Linked DNA regions of Arabidopsis thaliana. The protein of the gene in region 4 interacts with the protein of the main gene of each other region in a biochemical or structural test. Each region holds a gene or a part of one and is shown on either strand. Other genes may lie near its edges.

The links.
Region 1: the proteins of VDAC3 (region 4) and FBA6 interact in far-western blotting, tested with the Arabidopsis thaliana proteins (one study listed by BioGRID).
Region 2: the proteins of VDAC3 (region 4) and ATHM2 form a complex in vitro, tested with the Arabidopsis thaliana proteins (one study listed by BioGRID).
Region 3: the proteins of VDAC3 (region 4) and KP1 form a complex in vitro, tested with the Arabidopsis thaliana proteins (one study listed by BioGRID).

Annotation. Positions count from the first base shown.
Region 1 is NC_003071.7:15,296,029-15,300,938, forward strand, and holds FBA6 (Aldolase superfamily protein), read right to left. Parts: upstream 2,727-4,910; 5' UTR 2,360-2,726; coding exon 2,332-2,359; exon of another isoform or gene 2,112-2,331; intron 2,035-2,111; coding exon 1,807-2,034; exon of another isoform or gene 1,722-1,806; coding exon 901-1,721; 3' UTR 585-900; downstream 1-584. Other genes in the region: AT2G36470 (DUF868 family protein, putative (DUF868)), read right to left, coding at 3,357-4,340. UniProt on the Arabidopsis thaliana protein: Fructose-bisphosphate aldolase that plays a key role in glycolysis and gluconeogenesis. Associates with GAPC1 to the outer mitochondrial membrane, in a redox-dependent manner, leading to binding and bundling of actin.
Region 2 is NC_003075.7:1,561,291-1,566,328, forward strand, and holds ATHM2 (Thioredoxin superfamily protein), read right to left. Parts: upstream 2,915-5,038; 5' UTR 2,766-2,914; coding exon 2,522-2,765; intron 2,106-2,521; exon of another isoform or gene 1,947-2,105; intron 1,612-1,946; coding exon 1,295-1,611; 3' UTR 913-1,294; downstream 1-912. UniProt on the Arabidopsis thaliana protein: Thiol-disulfide oxidoreductase that may participate in various redox reactions. May activate NADP-malate dehydrogenase.
Region 3 is NC_003074.8:16,282,106-16,290,331, reverse strand, and holds the start of KP1 (kinesin-like protein 1), read right to left. Parts: upstream 6,500-8,226; 5' UTR 6,111-6,499; intron 5,801-6,110; 5' UTR 5,728-5,800; coding exon 5,631-5,727; intron 4,592-5,630; exon of another isoform or gene 4,483-4,591; coding exon 4,319-4,482; intron 4,121-4,318; coding exon 3,974-4,120; intron 3,809-3,973; coding exon 3,431-3,808; intron 3,290-3,430; coding exon 3,221-3,289; intron 3,127-3,220; coding exon 2,899-3,126; intron 2,766-2,898; coding exon 2,684-2,765; intron 2,602-2,683; coding exon 2,506-2,601; intron 2,419-2,505; coding exon 2,239-2,418; intron 2,066-2,238; coding exon 1,959-2,065; intron 1,854-1,958; coding exon 1,675-1,853; intron 1,581-1,674; coding exon 1,416-1,580; intron 1,324-1,415; coding exon 1,070-1,323; intron 979-1,069; coding exon 815-978; intron 736-814; coding exon 541-735; intron 450-540; coding exon 1-449. UniProt on the Arabidopsis thaliana protein: Required for keeping the ATP levels stable and balancing the aerobic respiration pathways during seed germination at low temperature.
Region 4 is NC_003076.8:4,887,967-4,893,425, forward strand, and holds VDAC3 (voltage dependent anion channel 3), read right to left. Parts: upstream 3,638-5,459; 5' UTR 3,424-3,637; coding exon 3,375-3,423; intron 2,919-3,374; coding exon 2,851-2,918; intron 2,668-2,850; coding exon 2,557-2,667; intron 2,454-2,556; coding exon 2,367-2,453; intron 2,274-2,366; coding exon 2,065-2,273; intron 1,976-2,064; coding exon 1,675-1,975; 3' UTR 1,557-1,674; exon of another isoform or gene 1,327-1,556; intron 1,205-1,326; 3' UTR 998-1,204; downstream 1-997. Other genes in the region: AT5G15080 (Protein kinase superfamily protein), read left to right, coding at 87-589; PIN8 (Auxin efflux carrier family protein), read right to left, coding at 4,193-4,259, 4,361-4,437, 4,520-4,677, 4,764-4,849, 5,181-5,370, 5,446-5,459. UniProt on the Arabidopsis thaliana protein: Forms a channel through the mitochondrial outer membrane that allows diffusion of small hydrophilic molecules. The channel adopts an open conformation at low or zero membrane potential and a closed conformation at potentials above 30-40 mV.

The DNA.
Region 1 (4,910 bases), on a different chromosome or scaffold from region 4:
TCTAAGTGAAAGTTGTGGTGTCTATACTATTTGTTCTCAAAGTCTCCAAGTATGGTGTCTATATGTTCTCAAAGTCTCTCAATTCTCAGATATTTTGTTGTTGTAACTAACGAAAAATCAAAACTAATTATTCTATTGACTACGTAGAGAATGATTCTAATAAATATATATATATATATATATATATATATTTTAATAATGGTAAGCTAGCTTTAATGCTTGCCTAACAAAAGCTTTTTGTGTATATAAAATACATTGTCTAGTAAAAATTTTGCTTTTGATCTTACTTCTTATGCCATAAATTAATTACTAGGTAGAATGTTAACTATATTATTAAAGCAGTCGGTAAATCCTTTCAACGTAGAAATAGTGGTGATATCAAAGGATTCCAAAAAGTTTGCAAGTAGATCACTGATACAAAAGAAAAAAAGAATATGTACATATTTCGTTTTGATTGAATAAATACAACATTCAAAAGAAAAGAGTTTTCTAATGCTAAAAAATATGGATGTTGAAATGTGTAAGCATGGTTGGTAGCCTCACTGGCCTGTTCTTCTGTTGTGCCAGGAGGCCTTTTAGAGATTGTATGTTACCTTTGGGTTTCAAAGTTGGGAGTCCAAAATATTTCGATGATCTTTTCTATTTTCTTGAGTTTGGTAGACATTATGAACTATACAACCGCCCAAATGTCGTCACTATTGATAATGTTAAATTATAACCCAACAAGCTAATATTCATTTTTAAAAAGGCTTCATAAGAACACAAAGACCTCATAAAAAAGTATAAACGGGGTTCTTTGGTGCCACCACTCTTCTAAACAAAACACCAAACAAAAAACAGAGAAAGTGAAAGCAAGAACATAAACGATGATATAAAAACTACGATCCTCAGCCTCTTTCTTCAGTACTTGTAATCCTTAACGTGAAGGCTCTCAGCTGCACCTTCACCGAGCTTAGCATCACCCTTGTAAGCACCAAGTGTTGCTTCAGAGTTAGCTTTGCATCTGACCAAGAACGCTTCTTGAGCCTTCTTCACATTCTCCTCTTTTCCTCCCCAAGTCTTCAAAGTGCTCTGCTGCAACGCCCTTCCAAAGGAGAAAGACAACGACCAAGGCTTCTTTGTCTTCAACTGGTTCATCGCGTTAAGGTTTCTTGTCGCCTCTTCCTCGCTCTGTCCACCAGACAAGAACACTATGGCTGGAACAGCAGCTGGAACTGTCCTCTGAAGAGCACGGACAGTGTGCTCAGCAATCACCTCTGGTGCAACCTTCGCACTCTCTGATCCTGGAGTAACCATGTTAGGTTTCAAGAGTGTTCCTTCTAGCAAGACATGGTGATCACTCAGAGCCTTGTAGCAAGCTGCAAGAACACGCTCTGTCACCGCGGCACACTTCTGAATGTCATGAGAGCCATCAACAAGAATCTCAGGCTCCACAATCGGCACAAGACCGTTCTCCTGACAAATGACAGCATACCTAGCCAATCCATAAGCGTTCTCATGGATAGCTAACTGAGATGGCTCATTAACACCAATCTTAAGAACCGCACGCCACTTGGCGAAACGAGCACCAGCCTCGTAGTATTTCTTGCAACGGTCACCAAGACCATCAAGACCTTGAGTAGTAGTCTCACCATTGGTTCCAGCAAGCTCAACGGTACCCTTATCAACCTTAATACCAGGCAAAACTCCTGCACTCTTCAACATATCAACAAAAGGCGTACCTGCATCACAACCAAAATCAACCCCAATCAAAGTCAACGATGATACACAGATTCAGACATATAGCGATGTTAAACTGTCAATTACCATCAGAGCTCTTCTGGTAAAGAGTTTCTTCAAAGAGGATAACACCACTGAGGCAAGGAAGAGCTCCAGGAGTAGTGAAGAGAAGCTCACGAAGAGCACGTCTGTTGGATTCAACGTTCTCAACGTTGATGCTAGCGAGACGTTTCCCAATAGTACCAGTTGATTCATCTGCCGCAAGGATACCTTTTCCAGGTGTTCCGATGTAAGCAGCGTTAGCAATCAGCTCATCTGCAAGAGCAAAACCCAAAAATTAGACTCGTATAGTCAGATCACTTAAACAACTAGTCCAAAGCCTTTATATAAACCTCAAAAACGTTAAACCGTAAGACCTAAAAACCAAATCGAAGACAGCTAAAATCATTCTGATGTGCGTGATCGGATAATCTATCAATTTTTAGTGCAGAAGACGAGATCGCATCAAAGTAGCACCGTATCAACGAAGAATCCAAACTTGTGACACAAATTAATATCGATTGTGCAGAAAATTGATAAACAGAGTACTGAGAAAGAGAGATGAAGTGTTACCGGCGAATTTGGAGGTGAAGGAAGACATGGTTGAAGAAGAATCGATTTGGTGAAGAAAGTTGGATAAAGAAAGGATGATGATGATGATGATGATGAAGATGATGGTGAATTTTGAGTTATATAGGAGAGAGTGATGGTAGCTTCCAGAAGATATTTTGGACTCTTCTCCAAGGTAAGCTTTTTCAGCCGTTGGATTGTTTATACTTTCTATGGGCCGTTTTTACTACTTCCGTGATTACTGGTTTGTAACTCTAATATTATAGTAACTTCTACCACGTTCTATTTAAGGTGTGACTTCGGCCTCACTACGGCCCATTGTAGCCCAATAATATTCCTCAGGTAAAATGATTCAATTTTTGTTTCCCTTGAAAAAAATTGTGTTTACAAAATGAGAAGTGAAGACTTTGAGATCTTGGAACCAAAAATTTAGAATTGATATTTATGTGAGACTGTGAGTAGTCTAATTCGGACAATGAATCATCAAATTCATTGTATCAATTCTTTTCAAGTATTTTTCAGAATTTCAACTTCTAGTGTTTTTATTTATTCATGAATTCTTTCTTGTTTATTTTCTATCCTGCCTTTTGAATTTTATCCCCTAGCTGCACTTTTTATTTTGTTTGTTTGTTTGAATTTTCAATTTTGTTGCAATGTCCTTTCCATTTCTTTTTTTGGAAATATCGAAAATGCTCCTATCATCATCATTGTCATAAACAAAAGTTAATAACTTTAGAAGATATTATTAGGCTATTAAATTAGGTACATTTATTTTAGAAGATAACAAAAATTATGTACATTTTATCTTATGCATAGTTTGCCATCCACGGTTTTGAATATAAATTTTAGTTTTGATGAACACAATTTGAATATCTCTTGCATTCTCACGAACATTTGGCAGAGAAAAAACACAAAAACATTTGATCTAATCAACCTATCAGATATACCTAAATGCAACACAAAATATTCTTAAAATTAAAATTTCAGACAACGAAGAGTTATGTTAAAATGTTTATTTGTTTATTTGGTCACTTTTTAGAGGCACAAATGATAAGTGAAAACGAATGTTTCTCATCTCTAGAACCAATATTCTTCTTCATCTCACTCTCTTGTTCATCTTCATCAATCCATAATCTACTATCCAAACCACTCCTCCTCCTAAACATAAACACAGCACACGGAGGAGTAGACGATGAAGTTGAAGAAGACGATGACGACGACGCCGTTTTAGACGATGAACTAGTCGAAACAGACGACAACGTTTCTTTGTAGAACCAGTCGTGTAAATCCCACATCATGTCTATAAGCATTCCATCGAAAAACATGGTTTGATTCCCTCTAAAGTTCCACTTAAGCTTCTTCACCGAAAACACTTTCCTCTTATCAACATAAACCGACATCGTTTCAGGACTTTTCACTTTCCATAAATACCCTTCCTCTCCTCCTCCTCCTCCTCCTCCGCCGCATTGAATCTGTATCTCGTGTTTCCTTCCGACGTCGGAGAATTGAGCTTTCGTCGTGAGCCAACAAGTTCCAGAGAATCTCTCCGTTTTTGAGACTCGCCACGACGACGATGATGACGTGTCTCGCTCGTGGTCAACGTCGCCGACTCCGAGGGTAATCTCGGAATTTACAACGACGACGACGAAGAATCTTCTTATTGGTTCAGGTCCGTTGTTTTCGTACTCTGCTTCCGATAGATCCCAGAGGATCTCGGCGTTGAGTGAACCGGAGGAAGAAGTCAACTTTCTTGATCCTTTAGGTTTTCTGAGTGAAACAGAGTATGATTTCGGCGGCGTTGAGATGACGACGGTGAGATTATCCGACCAGGTGAGTGAAACAGAGACGGGTTTGTCGGAAGATGGGAGATTGGATCTATAAGTGGTGGTTACTGTGTCGGGGATTGAAGGAGGTAATGTCGGAGATATATAGGAATGATTCGATGGACCTGAACAATATGTATCTGATACTTTAATGGCGTGTTCACTGTAACAAGCCGCGAGACCTCTCATGGTTTTCTAACAGAAAGGGTTTGTTTTTTTCTCGGGAAGGTTAGAAAGGAAGAAACTTTACAGAGGAAAAGGTTATAGATTTTTGGTTTTGGATGCTATACGTGTGAATAAAGAGAGATACTTGAAGTTGAAGGAAGGAAGAACATTTTTTGTGGTCTTTGGAGGGAGAGAAAGTTTTGTGTGGAAAAGGAGCAAAATGAAGTTTAGAGATTCTGTCTTGGGAGATTAGGAACGACGTGGAAGAACATAAGACATGACAGAGAGATTTTTTACCGGGAAACTAAAAGATAAAGAAACTTGGTGGAGAAATAATATTAGTTAGGGCTTTATGTATTTTTTGGTACGGAAGTTGCAGAGAAGAAATGGAAGAAAGTGATGAATTCTTCTTTGTCCTTGGCGTTTGGATATGTGTTTCATTCGGCCATGTGAAGATGTCTCTCTTCTCTTCTGACTTTTTGAGTTTCGTCTGGTCTATTATATGGATTGGTGTTTTTTTTTATTGTTACTCTTGTTGAAAATGTAAAATTTAAATACGAATCCATCATTAAATGTAAGTTAGATGTGGAAAAG
Region 2 (5,038 bases), on a different chromosome or scaffold from region 4:
CATGTTTGGTAGGAGAATATGGCCGACACTCATGAAGGTCAAATGATTAAAACATTGTCCGCTTGTTTATTTTAAAACATTAAGAACCTCAAGTGGGGGTTAGGTTTCACGTACGAAGCTGTCCGATATTGACTTGCCTTTGTTTCGATATTTCACACTTGTTCTAATTTTGATCATTATGCTCATGTTCCATTTATGTACGTCGTCGTGACTTCTTAGGTCGCGAAAGTTGATACAATCAAAAGGACACGAGAAGACCATTTACAAAGTCCAAATCATAATATTATAATGAAAGTTGTTTGATACAAACAAAAGTCACGAAAATGCATTTATAAAAGTCCAACTGATCTATTATTATAAAACCGGATTGCATCTTTCTTTTGACCTTATCTTCAGCCTAAATATATAATTCTCAAACCAAGGACGGCAACCAAAAAAAAAAAAAAAAGACATTACCAATAGAGAGGTTTCATCAGATTTAACACTTTCGTTCAGACCTAATATATTAGAATATTTTCTTGGCAATCTAAAACTAAAACTTTATGAACTAATCATATAATTTATCTTCTTGATATTTCTGATTTATATTGTCCAAACTAAATAACTTGGTTTTGGTCGAACTTTAGTCATAGACCGGATCAACAACTCTAAAACCTCAAAAGCTTGTCGGGAACTGTGGGATCAGTCCAAAAATAACTCAATTCTTTCGGCTATTATTCATTTTGTCCTAATTGACATATCCTTATCCACAAATTGGGTACACATAAACTATGGTGGATGAATTTCTTTGCTTATGCAAAAATAAGGAGATATTTCGAACGTATTTATTCTCTTTTGCTCGTGGTCGATAAAGACCTTTTTCAGCTGAATACGTATATTCTTTCTTTAGATTAGGACATGTATGAACCTTTAGCCCCTTTTGCATACATGTGCTCATTCATTAGAGTGTCGCATAATATCTTTTAATACGAGGAGTTTTAGAATAAGTAACAAACCTTAGCGTGTGTTCATCAAAAAACTTGCAGAACCAAACAATCTTAAGATCTCTCTCATGACCAAAAAAAGATTGGTGGAATCATTTTAATGTGGTTCCATTAGTCTAGTCCAAGATTGTTCTTTGATACCTTTAGTTCCGCATCTCAAAACATCTTCAAACCAGTAAAAATGACATAAGACATGACATCATATTATTTATCCAGGTCTAGATGTTCAGTGATAATGAGTTACAGAGATAATGAGAACAAGAACGAGAGACAGAGAGATACGAGATCTTACAGACTCCACAAGTGATATTTCATGGCAAGAACTTGTCGAGGCTAGATGTGAGTGTGGTTTTGGGCACTGCACCTATGATTGTATCCTTCTTCTCGCCACCGACAAAGATCATGATCGTTGGGATGCTTCTAACTCCGTACTGGCCGGGAGTATTAGGAGATTCATCAGTGTTTAATTTGTAGAACTTGATCTTCCCAGTGTAATGCTGTGCTAGATCGTTTACAAGCGGATCAATCATCTTGCAAGGTCCACACCATGGTGCCCAAAAGTCGACAACTACAGGCCCAGTTGCTTTAAGAACTAGAGAGTCCCATGTCGAGTCATTGACCACTTGAACTGCAGGATCAATAACACAAATCAACACCTTATTGCCAAAGCTTTTAGAATCATGAATGAAAACAAAATATATCAGCCAAGGTGGACGAATAAAACAAAGAGACAGCTGACCCGTTTATCCATCTTCAGCTAGATCAGTATGTTGTAGCAAGTCTATATGATATTTCCTAAAAATGATCTAGAAGTGAAAGTTTTTCAAAATAGAAATTTGATAGATCCAGTGAAGGATAAAGCTTTATGTTTTCACCAGAGAGGAGAGACCAATGACTGAGTTAACATTGTAGCAGATAATACTGCTAATCTCACCAAACACATTATCACGGAAAAGGACTTACCTATCTAAAATCGTAGAATATCAATGCTAGTGATAACCAAAATCGTTATCTGCTGGTATAGAGAATCAAGATATGTTTACTCTAAAGCACAAAAAGCAACATTCTTCTCTCATGAGCCAAATAACTGTTTCTTGTCACAATGTGTATGATCCAACCAATAAAATATCTGAGTAGGTACCCAACCTAATTTCTAGGTTTGTTAGAGAGACTTTGCATTAATCAAGTAAAATATCCCCAAAAAAGAAGTGATCCTAAAAAGCAACCTTCTTCAAATTTCACGCAAATGGCATGAATCGTTCCTCTAACAGAAACCTCATTTTCAGCAAGAATTTTCTCAAAAGGTATACTCTCCTAAAGAAACTCTTCTTCCTCCTCCAGATTCACTAATCTGTAACTAATCTCAAGTTTTTAGCAGATTACTAAATGCTACAACAAGAACAACAACACAAATTCAAGCACCTTGCTTCTAATTTCCCTCGCACAAATCAATAATCAGTTCTCAAAATCCACCAACGAGCACGAATCAAAGACAAGTTAATAACCAAAATCGAAAAAGGAATAGTGAGAAAACATACTATCGGTAGTAGTTTCCTGAGCTTCACAGACGACGGCTCTTCGTAATCGAGAAACCCTAGGTTGATGAATCGAGGTCAACGAAGCCGGAGAGAGAGAAAGACGGATTCTCAAACCTGATGATTCCGGTAAGACGGCGAACATCCGCCGAGAAGAGAGAGAAGAAGCCGATGGTGATGAGGATACGATTCTGGTCTCGGAGCGGAGAGAAATCGGAGGACGAGAGGTACAAGTGAAAGCAGCCATGGCTATAGATAGAGAGAGGAGAGGTTTCTCCAAATCCCCAAGTGAAAAAATAATATCCAGATAGATAGAGAAAATAAAAAGATAACGAAACTAATGGAAGAGAAAATGTAGACAAAACACTGATGCAGATTTTTTATATATACATCAACACAAACAAATATTTTTGGAAAAATAAGTATTTCTACTAAAAATACAATTAAAATACAGTTGTGAAAAAAATCGAGAAATAATAAATTGAAATATTTTTGAATTTTTTTGATTTGTTGAGCTGTAGATATCATTTGCCCAAAATAACCGAAAAAAGTAGAAAACGAAAACATATTGTAAATTGTTTTTTTAATTGTTTGGGTAAGATAGTGCTCTGACTAAGCCCATCTGTAATAAGCCCATAAAACTTTTGAGATATTTTTTATTGGGCTCATATTAGGCCAGTTGCACTTTTTTTTTTTAATCCAGTCACTTGTGGATTTAACAGAAATTTTAACAAAGTTCCGTTACCCGCAATTTGTGATCTCGGGTCAATTTAATGACTATTTTGGCAACATCAACAAAAAGTTAGCGACTGAAATAAGAAGTCACTAAAAGTTGACTATTGAAATGAAAAGTCAATAAAATTTAAACGTATTATTTTACCCCACACTAATTTTTTTTTTTTTTTTTTTTTTTTTGTATTTTTGAACATTTGAAGATCTCCTGACATTTTTTCGCAATTGTTTTTCTCAAAATTTTCTTTAAAAAAATAAATAAATTATAACGCTTGCTTATAAGATAACTAAAAGTCTAAAATTTTGAATAAAAAACTATTTGGCATGAAAAATTCGCTTTTGTTAACAATTTTCTTCAAAATTGGTTCGTTGAATCCTAAATAATATCTGATGACAAAAAAAAAGATTATAGCAAAAGTATTTTCTTGGAAAACCAACATTTTAAAACTTGATTGGTAATGGTATGACAATTAGCTCTTGAAAAATGAAAACAAAAACAAAATCTTAAAAATCTATAAAACTTTCAAAACCAACATTTTGGATCTGCCTCTTTTTCTTTTTCTTATATACCTCTAGTATTGAGGAACCACTTCAAAGTCTTTCCTCTGATGTCACTTTAGCTCGCTGACATCTCTTCTACTCCTCAATTTCTTTATAATCTCGGTAGATCTCTCTACTAAAGAAATTCCTCCTTTCTTGGTTTCTTCTCAATATTTTGTTTTATTTTTGTTTTCTCTTTCCACATGTCTCTTTTTATTATGTTACAAAAATTTCCTCAATGTTTTCTACGATGTTAGGTTCAATGCGTCCGGTCACCACTTATGTTTTCACTGTAAGAACTCATTATTCCCCAGCCCTATGCGAAGAAAGAAAATGGTGGTAGCTAGAGACCAAGTGATGGATTTTTACAAACGTGTTCATAGTGTCCTCACAGATAAAGAGTTGTCGAAATTAGAAGATTTGAGGCAGCTTATTCGATCAAAATAATCTTACAATAAAGAAGTTATCTTCAACACCGACATCATATCTCTTTTATATGATTCACAGTGTCATTGATGAAATGAAAAGTTGGTTGATAATATTTGTTGCGTTGGGGATGGGTTATTTGATGTTCGAATCCTGGGTTTTGTTTAAAAATTTCGTCTATTAATGTATATAGCTTAGATTGTTGTATATAAGCTTAGTTTGGTTAGTATAGATTTCATATAGAGTCTGTACAGGTTGGTATTCTATAAACCAATCTTAATTTTGGTTTAGAGGCTTATGGTTTAGGCCAATATCAGTTTGTATATAAACCCCCAATTGTACTCTTTTGCTAATTAATGAGAATGAGATTGTTTTACTAATATGGTATCAGAGCAAAATATCTCGATCTCAGTCTCGTAACAAACTTTTCCGATTTGATTTCACTGGAATCTCACCGGAGTTTGTTCATCTTCTCATTTTTTTTCTTCTCTTGAACTTCTACACGTTTTCTCTTCGTTTCCTTTGCGATCCAGTCTCATTTGTTAGCTGTTTCGATTCTCCATGGGTAAACGAAATGGAAAGAGTGTTCGTCGGAGTAGTTCACCGGATCTACTTGTCATTGCTTCATCGAAGATTCATGAGCAGTCTTCTGGTTCATCAGCAAGAGCTCCAGGATCCTCGATTCATGCTGCGATTCATCAACCAGCTCAATACAGCTCATCGCGTCACTTTGAGGTATCGGATTCTCCTGATAATAGTCACAGTCCTTATCATCTTGTTAGCTCCGATCATCCTGGTTTAGTCTTAGCTCCAGAACTGTTA
Region 3 (8,226 bases), on a different chromosome or scaffold from region 4:
TGCTTTGCCTTGGCTTTACTGCTCTCGGCTCTGGTCTTCTTAACACCACCTTGACGTATGTGTAGTGCATGCCTTATGTGTTCCTCCTCGATCTCAGGGAAGAGCTTTCGAGCGCTTAACTTCTGATGATTTTGAAATGCCTCTGAAGAGTTATCAGTGTGAAGCCTGTGGTTATTTTCTGCTGATGGGTTCAATGGAACAGTTGAAAAGGATTTGACTACTGGTACTCTAGCTGGAAAAGGTGTTCTTGAAACCGGAAGGTTTTGGGTAACGTCGGGCTTATTCCTACTTTTGATGGTTGATGCTCTGTCTGTGGATAGTGATCTCCTACTTGGACTCGGATTTAACCTCTCTTCTGCTAGATTCGGCATCCTCGGGCTTGCTTCTCTATTTCTCAGTGCAGACGGAAACCCTGACTTTCTCTGCTTGCCAGTTGAGCAACTTCTGGTCTGCAAATGGCATTCACCAAACTGATTAGATAAAAGTCTCTTTTACCAACAGATCAATAAAAAAGAAAAATCTAGTCTCTGAGTGATTTACCTCGTAGCTTCTGGTACCGTCGTTTGGCTGTGGACTTGCCTCAGCCTTTGTTCCAGCACCGTTACCAGTTCTTGGGAGATGGAAAGGAGAAACTGCTCTTGCTCTCTGACATTCAGTTGTGTTCCGAATGCTACCTGATCGCAATTGTTCCAGCTCTGCTTCCTTCTTCTCCATGGCCGATTTAAGGCTGGATATCTAAATATGTGGAAGAAAGATTGTTACAACATATTTATTAAGATTTGCACAACGAAAATGAAACTGATGCCATATGTACCTCATCCTTAAGATCTCGAATTTCACCGGTTTCCTTGTTTGATCGAGCTGCTCCAAGCTCAATGGATGCAACCCTTTGGGCAAACTTAAGGGTGCTGATAGTCTCCCCTACCGCATTAACTTCAGGATTAATATGTACAAACATTAAAGTTTTTGCTTGTCCACCTGCACATAGTTTCATAGATGAGAGATGAAGCTACAACAAAGCACGGGGAAATAAAATGGCTTGCAAAACTTAGTTTTTGTGTTCGTTTACCTAAGGAGTCCTGCAGAACTTGTGTAAGCTTGCTATTTCTGTAGGGAACGTGGGAACTCTTTTGTGCAAGTGCATAAATGACATCTCCTAATGCAGACAACGATTTGTTTATGTGTTGAGCTTCTTTGAGTCTCTCGCCTACAGCTTCGGATTTTTCTACTCTTTCACTTCCAGCCAAATCCACTAAATGAAGGCAGCCTCTTAAAATGGATCCTGAGGCCAATTCTTTTCCTTGGACGTGAACAGTTAATACACTGCAGTAGAACACACAGCATTCAACGACTATTATATGATCATAGGAAAATTTTAAAGCTTGAATTAAGCACTGGTATAAACAAAGATTTACCTATGAGAACGGCTGCTCCTCTCATTCAAAGCAGTGGCACCCACAGCACGATTCTTTTGGCCAATCCTCATCAAATCAAGGACATCTCGAGTATTAGAAACTGGAATCAAGTTTGCATCGGGTACATTAAGGCCATTGAGTTGAGAATTATTGCGTATGTCTAATGTGAGAAACTGGTCAAGGATTACGGGATTCTCAGAGGAAACACTCGAGAAGAATATGTAAATATTTCAACACTATAAAGTATATGAAAGGATATCTTCTGGAGGAACCATCACTGACTAGTAGATCTCTAACTTGTTCATTATATATTTCGATCATTTGGACTCCAATTTCATAAGTCACCACATGTGTTCTTGCATTTGAAAGCTGGAAGAGATCGCGTAGAGCTCGGTAGTTCACGCCCCAAGTTGTCTCCGTCATCAGATCTGGCCCACTCTGTAAGGCAAAACAGAGACAAACCAATGTCAAAGGCAGAGTAAGAAATAACAATGTCTGACGGTTTATGGGAGTCACCATGCAAGCAAATAGAAATGGTCATACCATCGTATACGTTTTCCCTGAACCGGTTTGCCCATACGCGAAGATACAAACATTGAATCCGTCGAGGACGGACCTTATTACCGGTTGAGTGTCAATGTAGATTTGCTCTGGTAAGTAAACAACCAAATATCAATAGACAAGAAATTAAGCATCATGAAAATAGTTAGGTGGTGCAAAACCAACCAATTCAAAGCTAAGTCATATATAACAAAAGTCTCAAAATATCTTTGAAAATTTGAATGCACTTGGAGATGGACATCGATGGAATAACAAAACATACCTTGTGAGACAGTCTGTCCAAATACTTTGTTGAAGGAAAATATTTTCCGTGCATCTTTCTCCTGCTTGAAAGGATTGTTAATGATAATATTACCATTTTCTCCAATATAATCCACAGTTGATTGCATATCTTTTTGTTCTTGGAAGAAAGGTCTGACTCTGCAGTAAACTCTAATGGTGCCTACAGTACAACGAAAACAGAAGTTGATACACTACAAAATACTAAAACTCAAATGCAACTATGCAAGGATGTAGTAGGTCGTGGTACCTTTGAGATCTTGAACCTCATTGTAAAGTAAGCGATTTTCCTCCAGAACCTTGTGGTAAGAAGAAGATGTAACTTCCATGGCCTTAACGTGATGGACTGCCATAGAGGATGATAGAGATTGATCATGTAATCTCTAATTACCGAGAAGAGAAAATTTGGGTATAAGAAGATTCATTACCTATCCTCTGAAGCTCTTTCTGCCATTCTGACTGCATTTGTTTAACTTGGCTTCTTGTTTCCACAAAATTTGATTTAACTTCCTACATGAGTTCATCAAAGCAAGAAATCCATTCCGTAAATTCAAGATTCTTACACAGCTTTCATTTACGAATTGACCAAATGAGAAAGTTCGAAAGCAAGAGAAAGTATTGGAAGAGAAATGTAAATTCTGACCTCCAGCTCTTTCTGTTGAAGACCAATAGCTTCTACATGACCCGGAGAAAATTCGCGGGCGTTTAGTCTACTAAACTCAAGCTTTCCGCCACATTTACAAAACTTTGAAAACTCCTTTGACACCAAATCTTTTCTGTGCTGAAGGTATCTGAAGACTGCTGCTAGAAACTCTGATCTTGACAGATCCCCGTTATCACATTTCAGTATTTTCCTTAGAAACGAACCCAGCTGCAAATAGATACCAAAAAATAATTGTAAACCCTGGAGAAATGTCTCACCATTCGAAAAGAATTCCATGAAGAGTATGCAGAGTAAGTAGTACCTGAGCTCCCTGAGAAACTAGTATTGCAGAGAAATCCTTAACTACCCTGTTCAGCAATGTATCAATCACCTATAAAAGTAACCAAAAACTGAGAAGGTGAAACACGATATATTATTCGAGTCTTTAAATGGTTGATTCAACAGGAGTTAAGGTTTTCACATTGCGTAACTTACAGAGCAATCAAACATAACTCAAACATGTCTTACCTACCATTTCATTTAAAGGCATATCATTGATCCCATCACTCTCCTTAAGGTAACCATGTAGAAGCTGAAGCGCGAAATGATCAAAAAGAAAAGCCAAGGAGATTGCAGTTTCAGATTCCTCAGCTGAGATCTCATTAGAAAGATGAAGAAAATCCAAAAGCTGGTCATACTGAGAAGACTCAGATTCATCCAAAGAAACAGACTCATCGGTAGTACTTTCACTACCAATCCCATACTGCGGCGGAGAACTGCCTTTTCGATTGAATGATACTATCCTCACAGTCCCTCCATACCTCCATACTCCAACTCCACCCGCTTGTTTCCACTCGTAAAAACCTTTCAAACACAAAATACAATCTACTACTTTGTTCGACGATCCTCCCTGCAAAAACAGAAGCCAAAAAAAAACAATCTTTCATATCCTAAACAACTTACGAAATGCATCATTCATCATATTATCATTCTCTGGGGAATTTCATCGAACATAACATATGCATATGCCAAAAGATAAAGTAAACAACTACATAATGTGATATTGAAATAGAACCTTCTCGAGATCAGAAGCTCCAAATGTTAAAAGCTGCATATCCTCTACAGCTTTAAGAAAGTTCCTCATGTTCTCAAAATATTGAATTGCCGATTGCGCCGCTCCATCCGCGTACTGAATAGCTGGCGTAATCGGATTCTCCACCACCTTATTCAACAATCAAAATCACAAGTAATTCAGAAATTACTCGAAATTGTAGAAGATTAATCACAACAACAACAAAAAAACAAAGTTGAATCAATCACAACAACAACAAAAAAAACTCTTAATCTCATCGGAAAGTAGAAATTAAACCCTAGTTCATTGCATTAGACTAGAAGAATATAGAAGGATTAGAAATTGGACCTTGAGAACAGAACCGGGATTGACTTTGTTGAGGACGTTGCAGAGAATGAGGCCGTTGCGGAGGGCGAGGGAGAACTCGTCTTCCGACGGTTTTTCCGGGAGTGTCTCCATCGCGCCTTGGTCCATCTGTCTCAGCCATGCCACCGCTTGGTATCTTCTCAGAGCTAACGAAATTTGACAATTCACATAAACCCAAAATCAAAAATTCAAAATACATGTTTCTCGAGAAACGTATTATTAATAACGGAAAACTTAACGCGGAAATAAATTGGGCTCAGATATTGATTCAAAGCCCAATATCTTTCCTAATGGGTTTTAAAAAAATATTGTTGTTACTGTTCTTATATATAATCTTATGGCAACTTATGTTGCTTAAGGGAATATTTTTGGCTAAAATACACTAATTGCTTTAGGGAATATATACTTAGATAATCTTACATTTTTTAAGTAAATTACTTATGATTATTTTATTAAATAAACAAATTTTGTTTTCAGTGTATTTAGAGAATTTTCAAAACAATAAGGAAAAATTCAAAAAAAATTCGTAATGCAAATGTTAAAACGGACAATTTGGCACTAAAAATTCGTACCGAACTGCTTTATATCACTTATGTAAAGAATATTTATTAAGATTGACTCTTTTGATCTCTAAATAAAAACTATTGACAAAAAATAATAATAATAGTTTTGTTGGTTTAAAAAATTTTACTTTTTAGCTGGTTACCGTTTGACCATCTGAATTAGTAGAATTTTGCTTTTAAATTTTCTCTATGTAAACACTATTTTTGGATAATTACTCTTTGAGTCCTCGAATTAGCAAGAGTTAATGACATTTCGCTATAGTGGCAAATGCGCTTTTTTGTCAATCCTCACAAAATCACCCTCTTTCCTATTTACCATCTTGTCATCAAGGTTATTTCTTTAATTATGACATAAAATCTACTTAAACAAGCTTTACAAAAATATGTTTTTTCAATTTAAAAGTAATAGTTGTGTTATAGAAAAAAGATTTGGGAGATTATAGAAAATTTGAATTGTATATCCACCATACCAAACATAAAAGTAATAATAGTTTTGCGGTTGTGGTGGGTAACCCTATAATGAAAGCCATATTCCATAAAGCAAATTTCTAAACGACTTTCTCTAAATTCAAATCAAACCCAACGTAATTGTTTTTGAATCACAAAGCTATTATTAACATATATATGGTCCATCTTCGACTTCTTTTTTCTTTACTTTATCTGATTTATATCTTCATTTTCATTATGAAAAACAATTTTAAAAAACAAACAGTGATGATGATGAGACAAACCTGTTTCTTCAGCTTTTCGTTGAGCAAGCTCATAATCTCCATTGCTTGTGGACGACACCACCAAACCCTTTAATCCTCTCATTAATTCTTGTGGCATTTTTTCACCTTTCTTCTTTTATTATTTTTCTGTTGAGTTGATTTATTACTTCTCTTCCACAAGATAGTATTTTCTGAAAACACGGTTTCATCAATACACAACTCTCAAATTCAACAAAAATGATTTTTAAACACTCATTTTGCATTTTACACAGAAATCTTAGCTTTTAGAAGCAACCCGTTTGCTGACGTTAATAGACTATTGTGTGAGAAGACCACATTGTAATTAAAAACAATAATCTTATATCTGTAAATCAAATCCATTGAAGAAGTGATAGATCCCTCTATATCTCTATAATTTGGTCAACTAATTTCACATAAGAGGTCTATCAATAAATGGAGGATTTTTGACTAGATTTAGAAGTGGGACTAGAGAGAACTTACATGCACGAACCTTAATTACAAGTGTTGAACTTGAAGGGACAAGACAATCCACGGATGATGTTGTTCATCGATCACACCATTCGAACCAGAACAAAGAACTTGGGATGATGAGCTCTTGGATGTCGTAACTTCTAAGATGGGATAGAGAGAATAGAGATTTGTGAAGAGGAAAATTAAGAGTTGATTCGTTGCCTTTTGCACTTTATTGTGTGTTTTTTATAACGGGTAGAAGATGGAGAAAGAGAGACGTGTGTAGAGAAAATCAAGTGTTGGTTCACTGTCTTTTGCTTATTTATTCCGTTTTTTTTTTCTTCTTAAAACGTCAAAGCTTATTTCAACTGTTTATCAGGATGTATTGTTATTATGAATTTATTAGTATCTTTCACAAGATAGTTTGGCAAAATAGTTACAAACTTCAATCGTTTTTTTGATGGATTTGGAAATCCGAATCGAAAAGTAAATCTTATGTTTTATTCTTTTTTTGTCGGACACATGAATGGTATAGTTAGTGTAGACTACTTTTTATAGTTGTGAATTGTAATTAGTACTTGTGTTAAAACGTAAAACCCACTCCTCTTCTTGCAGCTCATATGATGGTTGACCTTTTAAATATTCAAGATTGACACGTGGCGAGCATCCATCGAAGTCAGCTAACGAAAACGTACTCTAGTCGTAACTCGTAAGTCGGCCCACCTGATACCTCACTAAGCAGCATTATATGCCCTAAAACAATTCCTCCCTCTTTTTCATATACTTAATTTTGTATATTTTGCTTTCGTATCGTATTTTCAATTTTTTATATGTGTGACTTTGGAATCAATTTATATATATAAGTGACTTTGGAGTAGATTATATATGTTTGAAGTGTTAGGAAAGAGAATATTTCTAAGGACTAAGAAATAAAAACACTGTCTTTTGGAAACACCGAAATTGAACTTGGTAAAGCGATTCAATAATATTATGGAAATTAAATATAATGAACTTATTTTGGATATAATACTGCATTGTTATAGGGAAATACATTTGTGGGTTTTGTTCATATATATTTAGCCGTTATCATTGCCATTATGTAACAACGACTATTGAGTTATACATATAGTTTTAGTTTAAACTTTAGATTAATTTTCGGGTTCAGTTGACCGGTTAAGTTAGATACTTGTATATAAAGAACATATTGTATAGTTTTGCTTCTTTCATGAAAACAGAATTCGTAATCGTAATAAACTCCTCTCTCAATTTCTCCTTCTCTCTAGATTGTATTAGTGACTTTTATAAATTGTTCTTATTTTATTTTTGAAAGTGGTGGGAGATGTTATTTCCACAAAAATAAAAGAAGAAATCATATATGAATAGTAGACGTTGGATCCTATGGAATTCAAATGATTACGGGCGGCACAATGAAAGCTTTCGAGATTGCTTTTTTCTATTCTTTCTTTTCCCACATTTCCTAACCCAATTCAGCGAACCAGTTAATTTATTAACACTAACAAATTACCACAAAAACACAACAGGATTTTCAGTGTTACTCATAAATATTTTCATATGCTATCTTTAAGAAATGTTGTATTTATGAAAATTCTATCTAAAATTTAAAGAAATAGTTATAAATAATTTAACCCAAAAAAAGAAGTTATAATATCTTTTTCAAACAGTATTAATTGGTGTTAGTCTTTAATAGTAACAGATATTATGTGGTTAAAAGTTGAAAACAGTAAATAAGAAAAATGGAAGGTGAAAACAAAAATAAAAGAGAACCCTAGCTTGATGTAGAAGTGTTGTTAAAAGAAAAAAAAAGGCTTGAAGTAGAAGATTGTGATCAGATATGACAGAAGTAATTAGGTGTGATGAGATTGTAATTTCAATCAAGTCTTCTTTTTGTTTGTTCTGTTTTTCATAAACCAATCAATTAAGTTTAAGACATTGAGATTAAAATAAAAAGAAGAAAGAAAGAAGTAGTTATGATCGCAAGAATGCTTTGTTTGTTTGTTGGTCGCATGGTCCATTATTTTCTTTACCATCATTTGCGCATGAATCTCTCTTTTATTTGTTGTGTTTTACCATAAATTGCGCAATAATATCTATGCACTAATATGGGCTGGTTATAAGCGGCCCAAAG
Region 4 (5,459 bases):
CCTCTTTGGTTTCATCCATTTTCTTCAACTTGAAAACATTCAATGTTTACATCTTTGTTGATTTGCTTCCTGTTGAACTTGTTAAGGTCACTTGACATCAAAGAGCGATGTTTATAGTTTTGGGGTGGTTCTACTTGAAATGTTGACTGGACGACGATCTATGGACAAAAACCGCCCAAATGGTGAGCACAACTTAGTGGAATGGGCAAGACCGCATCTTCTTGACAAGAGAAGGTTTTACCGGTTACTTGATCCGAGGCTTGAGGGCCATTTTTCAATCAAAGGTGCTCAAAAAGTGACTCAGCTTGCTGCACAATGTCTTAGCCGTGACCCCAAGATTAGGCCAAAGATGAGTGATGTTGTGGAAGCACTTAAACCACTTCCGCATCTGAAAGACATGGCAAGCTCTTCTTACTACTTCCAGACAATGCAAGCTGAACGTTTGAAAAATGGGTCAGGTCGATCCCAAGGATTTGGATCAAGAAACGGGCAACACCAACCCGTGTTTCGAACACTGTCTAGTCCTCATGGTTCTTCGCCTTATCGACATCAGATTCCTTCGCCAAAGCCTAAAGGAGCAACTACATAGCTCTTACGTGGTGGAAATAGGCCACAAACGAACAGAGCTAGAAGGCTCAAGCTTTTATCGTCGTTTTTAAGCAACAAGGAGATATTTTTAAACAACGTTAGGGTAACTCTTTAATTGATTAATAATGTACGATGGAGAAGGGTAAATCCAAATGGAAAAAAAAAAAACTGATTTTGTCTTCCATTGCTGAAAGCATAGAAAAGTTATAAATTGAAAACATTTTTGATGCTCTTTATAAATTGAAAACACCAAGTATCTACCATTTTCAAACGCAAAAGCCAGTATCCCGGAAACAGAGGTATCGTGTTTGTTCATCTACTTCTGGTGGTCAGAATGATAGATTCAAAGTAGAGTACACTCCTTGGCTTATCGTTGGGTTGGGCAATCCAGGAAACAAGTATCATGGAACAAGACACAATCTTTTTCTTTTACTGATTTGCTGGATTTGATCTCGGCAATGCTACAACTTTGTGTTGTTTTCAGGTTGGTTTCGAGATGATCGATGTGTTGGCTCGAAAAGAAGGGGTTTTGATGAACACGATACAGTCCAAAGCTCTAATCGGAATAGGTTCTACTTCTCTTGCTTTTGGTTCTTTGGTTTGAAGAATAATAAAACTGATGACTTTTTGGTTCTATGTAAGAATCAGTACAGGTGCTATTGAAGGTGTACCTATCTTGTTGGCTAAACCTCAGATAAAAATCTGACCAACTAGACAAAATTAATTAGACATGTAAGAAGAACCTCATAGAAAAATCCACTAAGGGAACTCCAAATGGAACAAAGTATAGCAGAGGCAGAAAATAAAAGAGAGAACCAAGTAAAAGATATGGAACAGAGTATTGTAGCAGAGGCGGAAAATAAAAGAGAGAGAGCCAAGTAAAACGATCTTAATGGTTCTTTATCGTCAAAGACGATCCTTTCAATAGTATTTTTCTCTTTTATTTTCTACAAATCCCAACACCGAACAAAAAAAACAAATGAAAGATTGTTTAGCAAACCAGACAGCGATTTGTCCAAAGATTTGAAGACGAAAAAGAAATAACACCTATTCTACCCACTTCAGGGCCCATTTGGTGGTATCTTCTCAGGGCTTGAGAGCGAGAGCAATCCCAACCTTGGCACTCTTATCGATCGCCTTAGAATCAACCTCTCCAGAAACGGTGAAGAACGACTTTGGACGCCACTCATGTTGGATCAGAGCGTTAGCCACACCAGCATTGTTCACTCTTGCCTTCACTGTGGTCAATGGGTCAAGCGCGTGTTGAGTTCCGACAGTGATGGCGTTCTCTTTGGTCGTGAAGTTGTGGCTAATCTCAGCTCCAACCACAGTCGACGGGCTCACAATCTGGTAGTAGGATGCATTCAATTTCTCACCTTTGTCATTCCTGAAAAAAAACAGTTTAAGAAACAACTCTTTTAAAACCAGCAGCATTAAAATCTCAAGTCATCATTTCATATGGAGGGAGGCACTTACAGAATGAGGGAAGCAGTCAAATCATCCTTGGTGAAGTTGAAACCAGCATTGAAATGTTTGAAGTTGCCAGATTCGGTGTTATAGGCCACATCAGTACCAAGAGACAAACCATTGGTTCCAACCACACCGGAGAAGTTGACAATCGGGGTAGCTGTGAATCCAACGCTGGTAGAGATACCAGCATAGTCATGGAAATACTGAACCTCAGCCTGCTCAGAAAACAACAAATAATGGTTATCTCCAACATACCAACCTTTAAAAAAACGGAACAGAAAGAAAAGAAAGCTGGTGGAGTTATATACCTTTCCAGATTTGTGATCGGGCAACTTAGCCTGAACAATAACTTTCAGTCCAGGGGCAGGCTCATCAAAGGTAAGAGTGGTCAAAAGCTGAAATTATTCACACACAAAAAAAAATCAATTGAATACTCCAGCAGCAATCGGCAACATCATATATCTACTAGAAACAGCTAAAGCTAAAAAGTCTACTTACAGAAGAATCAGTGGAAACTTTGACATCAGCAGTGAAGTTGTTGTTCTTCACTTGGGTAGCAACATCACCCAAAAACAAGCTTCCTTTGTTTGTTCCCGTTGTAGTGATCGCCTACAAATTTATCACCATTCGACACAAGAAAGAGTCAAGTGAGAGTACACATGAAAACAAACTGTACAACCAAATTTGACATAACAGAAAACTAGACAAATCTCAATTTTATCACTAACAATAAACCCATCGCACCAACAAAATAGAGAATTGACAGAAATAAAAACAATAATAAAAACTTACAACACCAGTTGAAGAGTAAGTGGTGACACTGAATTTCTGGTCTCCTTGGTAATCCCTGTACAGAAGATCTACAATAGCATTCAAAAACCTTCAGATTCAACTCAAATAGAAAAGTTCAACACGAGACAACTACTCTGTATCCTTGATAGACATTTTCCAGATCCAAGATAAAAAATTTCAAAACCAGCTAATCAACGAGTGACCCAAAAATTGAAACCCAGAGAACCAGTCTTGTTATTCTATCTATACAGATAAACGAAACGGATAGCATAAATCTGACGGAAACGAACACAGATATTATCAATCAGCTCACAAAACACGAATATTTAACTTTTTATGCATCTATTCAAATTTCAACGACCTAAGCGTGACCGATAGAAATCGGAATAAAACCAGGAATGAGAAACCCTAACCGATTCAATGAATATCAACCTAAACCCAGATCAGAAAAGAGCTCAAATGTTTACGAAATGTCAACAACAGTCACATTCGCGTCACCATAGAGAAAGAGAGAGAGATCGTACCTCTGGCCTTTTTGCCGATTTCAGTGTAGAGTCCTGGACCTTTAACCATGATTGCCTCTGGAAAAATCGAAGAAGCTTTGAAAGATTCCGAAGTCGAGAAGAAGAGTAATGGAGGATTCTGGAGAAAATGAGGTGTGGTGTTTGTGTATATAAGGGGAAGAAGAAAGGGTAACCCTAAATTAATTTATATTATAATATTGTATTTCCCTGCTTATCAAGTAAAAATATCTCAGCCGTTAGATTAATATGACATGAGTCGGTGTCCCTCTTTATCAACCGTTGATTATATATTCCCCTCTCTCCAAGGCATTTTTTTTATGTTTTTTATTTGATTTTCGTATTCTTATTTTATTTTTTTATGGCTTTTTTCCATTTTTCATTGCGTGGCAAGCAAAGCAGGCCGTGTACTCTCTAGTTTTCTTCATCCCCAAAATTTATTTATTTTTATATAATTTTTTTTTTGTTGTTGAGTCTTTGACAATGTCTATTTATTTTCTTAGAGTTAACCATCTGAATTGTTCTTATTAATGTGATATTTAAATTTTCTTAAATGGTGTTCTTTTATATTTACTCCTATATAGTATCTATTATCCTATTTTTTAAAAAGAATAAGTCAAAATTTTGATTTTACTAGTTGACATGTTTTTTTCTAATTTAATATCAGGAGAAAAATGATTTACAATAATTAAAGAGAATGGTTGACATTATTAGCTTTATAATTTCAACATCTAAAAAACTATGACTAAATTAAATACCATATAAAATCCAAAATTAAGAGCCTACGTATAAAACATGTTTTTTTTTTGAACATGTCATATTCATAGGTCCAATAGAAAATAATATGCCAAAGTTGTTGGTAAGGCAATTAGCATTCCAAATATCACCCTGAAAAAGCAAAACAATAAAAACCACAAAAATAAATTTCAAAAAAATTGTAATAAGAAGAAGGAAAAAAAAAAATCAAATCAAGAAATATATTTATTTACCCAGTACTAATGATCTCCGGGTGAAGATTATACTCTTTTGCAAAAACAAATGGCACTACTCCTTGAGGCAATGCTGCCTACAACACAATAAATCAATCGACAAAAACATATATATGACAGATTTTATTATTAACGGATTATTAATTTTAATATTTTCACCTGTAATATTGCTACTTTGAAGAGAGTACTTTTTAATCTGATGCAATACGCAGAAGCAATCATAAGAGCAGGTCCTAATACGAACTTGAGCAGCATTGTTATAATCGCCATTTTTGTACCACATGCTATGATACTACTTTGTGATGCCATGAACAGACCTGTTTCATTTTTTGTTAAATTAAATTTAATTTCCAATCATGAAAGTTTAGTTTTTTTTTTTTTTTTGTATAGATATATAGCTTACCTAAGCTGAACATGGCCATTCCTAAGCCTCCATCAGATAATAAATGTATTGATTTATCAATCATCTCAGGCAAATTCCATCCCAATCTATTGGAGAAAATAAATAAAAACATGAGTAACATTTGATACAAACTATTAAAAAAAGAAGCTAATCTTAATAGTTGGGAATATCACTTGACTATCACTTTTCGATTTTAAAATATTAAAAAAAATGAATTTGTAGATGCGAAAAATGATCAAACAGAAAGCTTAAAATAGGGGAAACTCACTACTAAATTATCGCTTTTCTTTTTGAAAAAGAGAAAAGGAAGTGTTTGAATATGTAAGATGATAAAGATTGAATCTTTAGATGTGTAAGATGATTTATCACAAAAGATATGATTGCAGTGTTAAATATAAGAGAGTTTTGTTTTCACACCTGAAATGTAAAGTAGCCCAAATGATTCCGATCAATGTTGCGTATGTATTTGGATTGATTATAAGCTTTCTCCAAGCCTTCAATAGAATCTTCATAGTTCCAACAGATCTTGTTCTCACTATTGCTACTTCTTCTTCGTCCTCTTCTTCTTTTGGCTCGTCCTCTATATTAGCCTCTTCCTGGTCATTGCCTTGTTTTACAAGAAACCAAGATTTAATTAGGGTAAATCATTTTTTATCGAAAAAACGGAATGATTTTTAGTTACCTGTATGTTCTAGG